Linked DNA regions of Oryzias latipes. The protein of the gene in region 1 interacts with the protein of each later gene in a pairwise test. Links are inferred from orthologs where the notes say so. Each region holds a gene or a part of one and is shown on either strand. Other genes may lie near its edges. The genes, in order: rsph1 and morn3.

The links.
Region 2: the proteins of rsph1 (region 1) and morn3 interact in binary tests that used the Homo sapiens proteins (3 or more experiments, as listed by UniProt). The two-hybrid records come from large-scale screens. The link is inferred for Oryzias latipes from reciprocal best matches to the Homo sapiens genes RSPH1 and MORN3.

What each region holds. Positions count from the first base shown.
Region 1 is NC_019877.2:20,918,827-20,923,280, reverse strand, and holds the start of rsph1 (radial spoke head 1 homolog), read left to right. Parts: upstream 1-1,512; 5' UTR 1,513-1,600; coding exon 1,601-1,651; intron 1,652-1,732; coding exon 1,733-1,846; intron 1,847-3,417; coding exon 3,418-3,523; intron 3,524-4,454.
Region 2 is NC_019870.2:13,849,613-13,853,280, forward strand, and holds morn3 (MORN repeat-containing protein 3), read left to right. Parts: upstream 1-1,251; 5' UTR 1,252-1,378; intron 1,379-1,779; 5' UTR 1,780-1,801; coding exon 1,802-1,946; intron 1,947-2,034; coding exon 2,035-2,192; intron 2,193-2,277; coding exon 2,278-2,437; intron 2,438-2,518; coding exon 2,519-2,703; intron 2,704-2,784; coding exon 2,785-2,856; 3' UTR 2,857-2,868; downstream 2,869-3,668. Other genes in the region: transmembrane protein 120B, read right to left, coding at 879-941. UniProt on the Homo sapiens protein: Assembles a suppression complex (suppresome) by tethering SIRT1 and MDM2 to regulate composite modifications of p53/TP53.

The DNA.
Region 1 (4,454 bases):
AATCTCAACTCAACAATAGAAAAATAAAGCACTGTGCCATTTTCATTGGTTCAGGCTTCAGCTTCACAGCTGGCCTCAAAATAAATTTTATATCTTTTTCAGTTGCCAGAAAGACTTATGTAGCTGCATAACTGTTTAGCTTTTTTCCATTTTTTCCCCATTATAAACAACATAAAGTCTGTTGTCTGAAAGCCGCTGAGCCAAAACAAAGTGTTTCTGGGAATTTTCTAAAACTGTTGAGATGAAGGATATTAACGTAAAATCCATTTCAGGATGTGTTTTCCTCACTACAGATGTCTGTGTCACACGCATGACTGAGCAGCATCTTTAAAGGTTCCTCATAAAATCTCCACATTTTGGGGGTAAATGGAGGCAGAGCTTTGCTCAAATGGGACCAGAGTTCTGCTGGTCACTAAGCAGAAGTGCGCATTCACAATGCAGTGGCAGTTTTTCCTGTGGGCAATGTGGGCGGCCGCCCATGGCTCAATCTTGCAAAGGGGGCGGCCATGGTGCAGTGGTAGGGCGGTGGACCCATGATCGTAAGATTGCAGGTTCAATTCCCACCTTGCCCACCCATGTATTGAAGTGTCTTGATCAAGACACTGAACCCTACCTTGCCTCTGGTGGAAGGTTGGCGCCAATGTTTGGTAGTGGAGCCTCTACCTGTGTGTGTGACTGGGTGAATGGGTCTGTGACTGTAAAGCGCTTTGGGCCTTTCAAGGAAGGTAGAAACACATTATGTAAGTATACGCCATTTACCAAAAGAAAACCTCAACCCCCTCTCCCACTATTTTTCTAGTCAATCACCACTCATCTCCACAACTTGCACTGGGGCGCCCCTACTATTGTGTCAACTTGTTGCTGTAATGACAGTATTTTGTAATGTGCACGCATTGGGATTACTTACTGGAAGATAGAAGTCTGCTTCAAAATGAATTTGTTTCCATCATCTCACTCATCTTGACTCTGGGTGTTTGACAGGCGGACAAGTCTATTCAAGATTGTGGTAAATGGACAAAAGGTTAAAAGGAAACATCAGGCACCCAGTTTAGAAACAGAAGAAGAGTAGAGGTCGTTAAACTAGCCAGGACCGCCTCTGCTTGCAAGGTGTAAGACTGAAGAGCAATAACTCAGACATTTCAGCAAAGTTATTGATTTGGATCAGAAGTGAATCTTTGTGACTGGATCCATCAAATGTTCCTGTAATTTGAAGGAGAGTTAAATCAATCAACATAAATTAATTCATAATTACTGTCTATCTACTTAATCCACTTAGACGACAAACACCGTTAAAATATAAATCAACATGGTCTATGAGGAGTAATTAGTCATCATCATAGTCATAAAAAAATAAAAAGATAGCTACAAGAATGATTATTAAAATAAAAAACGCCTTCATTGTCTTTTTCCTATTTTTTCTGGTACATTTGAGGAAAAATACCCCACAAGATCAAAAACAGACCTCATCTGTGCGGAAATCTGCCAAACCTGGCATCCCCGGAAGCGCGCGCCAGGGTTGTCGTCACGGCAACGGACAAGCGACATACGCACGCGCAACGGCAGTCTGTTAATGTTAGAATAAAGTTAAAAGGTGTAAAATATGTCGTTCTCTGGTTCCGAAGATCTGAACGAAGAACTCAGTAAGCTCGCGGTAAGAGGAAGACCACACGGAACCGAGAGGTTCGACTTCCGGCTGACAGCTTTCCCGTTTTTGCTGTTTCTTTGAGGACAGAATTATGAGGGCGACAGGAACGATGCGGGACAGAGGCACGGCGTGGGCAGGAGCGTCCTGCCCAACGGAGACATCTACCAGGGCCGCTACGAGCACGGAGAGAGGCACGGGCAGGTGGGGGGCCCACCTATGCTTTCTGATTTCTTATGACTAGTTTCAAGTGTTTAAAAAAAAAAAATGATTTGGGTCAGAATGGATTCCAAATACATTAAATGGCTGGGGGGTGGGGGGTGGGATGTCTTTGAGAAGAAACCGTCTTGGTGATTTTGACAAGCTAAGCTCCACATTTCTTTTCAAATTTAAAGTAAAGCAAAAGTAAATAAATAAAGAACAACAACAATGAATAAATAAATGTTGCAGTTCTTCTAATTACCACTAGAGGATGGTTTCAGAGGAAAACCCCTTTTCTATTGACTCCTGTCTTAAAAAGTCAAACTGTACACCATAATAAAAGTATGTACTGTCTGCCATCAAACAGAGTTGTAGTAACTATTGGTTTATTTTCTATTTGGTAGAATAAACTAGTCATTTTGGCTGCTCCACTTTAGTTTCATAGTACGCAACGTGAAATCATAACCCCTTCAATTCACAACATACCAATAAATCTAGGACTCCACCCACTTTAACATCACCTTAATATCTTTATATCATTAGAAATAATATCAGGCACGAAGAGTTAAAACATGTCTTATTCAGAGCTGTCTGACTGCATTCAGGTACAGAATAAGCCAAATACGACGGATTCATTCAGTAAAGAAATAGATGCAGACATTTAAGGATGAAAAATAAAGAAAGATGTATTGTTTTTTTTTAGAACCACAGAGTCTATAAAGTGGAATATCTTTTATCAAGAAATCAAACTGAGAAAAAAGTGTTAGTAGATATATCTGTTCTCAAATTCAGTAACTTATGAAACATGTATTACTATTTTGAAAAGTTTTGTTTAGATTTTTAAGGAGAAAAACCCTAAATCTATGAAGGGGATTGACTATTAGTTAGTGTGTTTGTTTTTTTAAAAGCAACTTATAAACACAGAATCACAAGATAGCAGCTGTTTTCTTAAAAAGACCAGCTGAATATATAGAAAAGTAGCCGACAGCAGGTTTACTACTGAATACAACTTCTGTTAAAATGTCTAAAAACCAGAACAGGATGCGCTTCAACCTGACCTTCAAAAAAGACACTTCAATGTACTTTTAACATCAACATTTTTGACATTTCTTTAGAAATGATTCTCATTAATTAAACATGCAGTATGAAAGCACAGGGATGTTACTGTAATGTATTCATGTTATTGATATGAATTTTAAAGTATTTTGTAGGAATACTAACACTTTTATAATCAATTTTACACCCAATGGTAATAGCAGCTGCATATACTGTAGGCAACAATAACCTATAGATTCTTGGACGGACTGATCACTAGTAGAGTAGGCCCACGAGTGCCACTAGTGCACTACAAATCCCAGAATGCACTGACATATTAGCGCTTTGAAAGTCCGCCCGACCGCTCATCACACAGGAGTTGTGTCTTACTGGTGAACACTTTCCTTCGACCCTGAGGATTGGGAATTGTTTGCTTGTTCTCCATAAGGAAACGTTTTAGGAATTTCCATGGAAAGTTCTAGGTTTGACACCCCCGATTTAAGGGACTGTAACCACGTATGGCTGTTTTCATCCACCAGGGGACGTATCGCTTCAAGAACGGGGCAGTTTACGTGGGAGAATATTTCAAGAACTTGAAACATGGACAGGGCACCTTCTACTATCCAGACGGCTCCAAATATGAAGGTAAAACCTGTTTTCATGTAAGCACTTAAAGAATGATAATAGGTCATCTGTTTATCCAGCTTTAAAAAACAATTGATCATAAAAAATGATCAATCAAATGCAATAAGTTTTCTTAAAGTCGTTTCTCAATGCTCACACTGTCTTTGAGAAGAAGCTGCTTCAGAGTCCATAGGTGTGGTGGCATGGATCTTCTGTGATGGAGCTTTTGTCAGAGTTTTATCTTCATAAAATGGGGCTATAAGGAAAGGCCTTATAGAAAAAGAAAACAAGGAGGAGATGGCGTTTTGATTGGGTTATGGCGGCTGAGTCACCAGAGACGACTCTAAGCCAAACCGCTAACCTGATTGGCTTCTGTAAATAAAAACCTTTTGACAAGAAAACCCCTTAGTGAGGTGGAAAATGACAGGAAATATCTGTGGAATTTAAAAAATGAACATACGAAAGGACTGACAGGACATAAAGTCAACACAAAATGCAAGGGAAAGAATAAAAATAAAAGCCTGAATGAAAGAGTTTACAGTATTAGGTGAGAGCCAGTTAAAAGTAATATGGTGTTAAGGTTAACCGCTCTTGATCTGTGAAATTGAACTTAGTCAGATCTCATCAGTGTTAGATTAAACTGCTCTGGACTGATTAAGAAATTATCAAATGCAAGTGGACAATAAAAACCATCATCAATGGAGTTCAGACTCAACAATTCACCAAGGGATCAAACAAACAGTTGTGGAGGGCACCTTTGATGGTTTGGTGTGGAAATAGTCAAGTTTTTCATAGAATGTGAGAAAAAGAGGAAATGCTGAGGCCAGAACCAGTCCACTCACAAAACTGTTACTGCGTTTTCTTCGCCACATCAGGGGCGGCCGTGTTGCAGTGGTAGAGTGGTTGACCTGCAATCAAAAGATCCCAGCTTCGCCACCCATGTGTTGAAGTG
Region 2 (3,668 bases), on another chromosome or scaffold:
AAAAAAGTTAATTTGATAAAATAAAATTTACAAATGCATCTGCAGGACACATTTTAACCAGGGAAGAAATAGAAGAAATGATTAGAAAAGTGAAGAGAAGATGGTGACAAATTGTGTTAGCACAACCTTCAAAATAAAAGCAGGTACACATTTGAAATGACTAATAAACCAAAAATGACAGACCTACTTTGGTTTCTTTCATTATTTCCCTATAACCTGAAAGCAGCTGAGTGCAACTGCAATGTGTCTGTGTGTTCTAATGAAACCATCGTTACTCCCCTTTCCCTGAGGAGCAGCTCTACATTATTTTCCTTGATAATTAGGGGGACAGTTTTAATTTGAACGCAGTCCATGCTATCAGAATTCATAGTAAACACAACCGTCCAAAAAGTCATTGAGAGTTAGAAATTGTTTTAGCCAAACTGAACTAGCTTAGCAGATTAAAGAAATATTCAATACATTTTTTGTCTTTATTAATAATTAAAAGAATTAAACATGAGACGTCTTCATGTCGTTTCCGCAAGTTTAATCGATATGATTGGTTAGCTTAAAAGTAGCTGCTCTTCTGCGACACACTAGCCACAAGAGCACGAGCAACATCATGATGATGCTGCTGCTAACGCTAGCAGCTACCACAAATAATTAAGTAAAGTTTAAATATTTAAACGTCCAGCAAAAGTCTATTCGAGTCACATTTTTAGCTACTAACAGCAGAGAAAGTGGCTTCAGGTTTAAAGATAAGCTGAGAATGAATGGCAACTAACTAGCAAAAAACCATAAACTACCGTGGTCGCGACAGTACCTACTTAGTTACGGCACGCGGCAGCCTAAAAAAGCCGACATAAAACAAATCCCTCGTTAGAATAGACCACTCTCACCTGTAACTGCTGATATTCGTTGTCTATATCGTCCCATTCCGCCTGCAACTTACAATAGGACATTATGAAATAATGGTCAGTGGTGAGGACGCATGCAGTCACAATGAATGCCTCTTCCAACAGGATACTCCGTCCCACTCGGACGCTTCTTTTTTTTAATCGTGCTGCACTGCGCCTGCGTAAACCCAAGAAGGTTCACTCAAAACCGGTGGTGAACCTCGCTTCAGTTTTGTTTCGTCAACATCCCCATTTACCAGTCATTCGGATTTAGTAAAATAGCTCCAATAGCCCAGAGAAACATTCAACAATAATGTGAATGTACGAGTTTAAATTGGATTTGTTTTTATCCAATCACGGGGCGTTTTACTGTTGCTAGGACACAGCAGACACAACTGCCCTGTCGCTGTCAGCACTCACGTCCATACCTAACCGCTTACTTTCTTATTTTTCTCAGGACCACGGCGAAGATCCACCACTTTCTGTATTCTGGCATTTTCTTTGTAAGTATACATACCCCCCCCCCCCCCCCCAAAAAAAAAAAAAAAAAAAAAAAAAACAACAACAACAAAAAATCTCCATAACTAAAAAGGTCAGGAAGTTTATTGGACTCTTGTTAATCCCTCTAAGATTGAAGAAATATTTACAAAATATGCTTAGTTGTTAATTTGGCTCATTTTAGAGCATGTGCTTACCAAAATGCCACAGAAAAAGTGTCTCTGCAGACATTGAATTTCTGCCTTTGAAGGTCAATCATGCTTTAAGGACTTGCTATTGCAAATTTTTGGTATTTCATTTTCAGAATTTCAAGAAAACTTTTGTGTCTGTGTGTTTTTTTTTTTTTTTTTAAAAGACAGAACTAACTTAATGCTTTCCTTCTCCAACGTATTACTTTTTTTTCCAGTTTTGCCAAGCGCTTAGTTGCCATGTCTTCCATCAAACCCTCGAAAACAGAGCCTCCATCTTCGGCTTTGAAAGAGTCCATGACATTAAAATCTGGATTTCGACACACAGTGTTTTCCCTTAATGGGGATAAATACACCGGAGAATGGCAGGACAACAGGAAGCACGGTAAGATGCTGTATTTTAATTAGTTTTAGTCAAACTTTTAGGATTTTTTTAATGCTTCTTGTTGCCACTACTCTAATTTATTATTAAGGCATTGGAATTCAAATGTGGAAGAACACTGGCGCCGTTTACAATGGTGAATGGAGATTTGGCAAATACGATGGATATGGCACTTACTATGTGTTAGACCCTGAATCAAAAGGTTATGTGTGGAAGTACGATGGAGAGTGGAAAAATGGAAAGAAGCATGTATGTATTGCAACAGTTTTTGTTTTACTCACACAGTTTGGCACATCTTTCCCCATGTTTATTGACACTTTTTATCATTTCTCAGGGCTACGGGATTTACTTCTACAATAACACGGCAGTGTATGAAGGGGAGTGGAGCGAGGGCCAACGGAGCGGGCGGGGAAAAATGTTCCATGAGAACAGAGACATCTATGAGGGAGAGTGGATGTGTGATAAGGAACACGGGGAAGGAAAACTCTTGTATGGTAAGAATGTTTTTAAACGTCTCTCTTCAGTTTGGACTATTTGTTGTTAAAAAAAAAAACTGAATCTAACTTGCGGTCTAGCAAATGGAAGCTGGTATGAGGGCTCCTGGAAAGACGGCAAGAGGAATGGCAGCGGCAAGTGTTACAATTCTGAAAAAGGCCTGCTTTACGTAGGCTTCTGGATAGATGGCGAAGCAAAATGTGGAACCCTGTGTGAATATGAAAAGGACAAAGCCCCAGAACCATCAAAGTGTAAATTTCCAAAGGTAAAACATAGAAAAAAGGATGCATGACATATTCAGCCACATTCGTGTAATCTAATTTCTGTCTTTATTTTCTCTCTAAAGCTACATCTGGTGGACCCAGAGCAGGTTTTAAAGGAAGCTCAGTCAGTCCTAATATACACTAGTAAAGACTAAATATCTGATGAATGCTGTTTCATTGTGTCTGTATTTTCAGTTTTATACCTTACATTTTCGACTATGATCAATAAAATAGTAGCGATCACATTTTTGTTGAACTTAAAATGTAAACAGAGCACAAATTTAAATAGGATTACCACCTAAATTCATGGATATCATGCAATAAGCACTAAATGCACAATTTTAAACGAAAAACATATAACTTGACCAGAACTTCTTTATTTTTAAGATGACAGTCAATAGTAAAATTTGGATAAATCCTTATGCCAACAAAACTTTAGTTCTCAGTTTGTTTTTATAAGGTGATCCAGCTCAGTTTAGGCCCATTTTGTTAACTAAAATGTCTGCTTGCTCTGTTTTTAAACTAATAAAATATAAAATATCTCAAAATAATTGTTCAATTTTGCATTTAGCAAAAATGTTGCAAAGAAGGCAATAAAGGGTTTTCATCTGTTCTTTTTAATGAAAAAAAAAATGCCAAAACTTATCAGCAGACTCAAATAATACTGCAAATTTGGCACAATTAGTGAGACAGCTCAAAGGACAGGAAGCAAAACACTGGACTTTTCTGAAGTAGATCCTGTTAATGTGAAGGGAAAAAAGTTATTGCAGTGGCTCACAAAACACTAGTAAATATACACAAAAATATGCAGTGCCTACTGAAAAAACAATAAACGCAGGCAACAGACAGGTGTACCGATCCAGTGTCTGCCATGAATTCAAATTCAAATCCCGCATTAGTTTAAGACCGGACGCTTGAACGACATGCATTAGAACAAACTTATGAGCTCACATTTAATCCTTCGTGT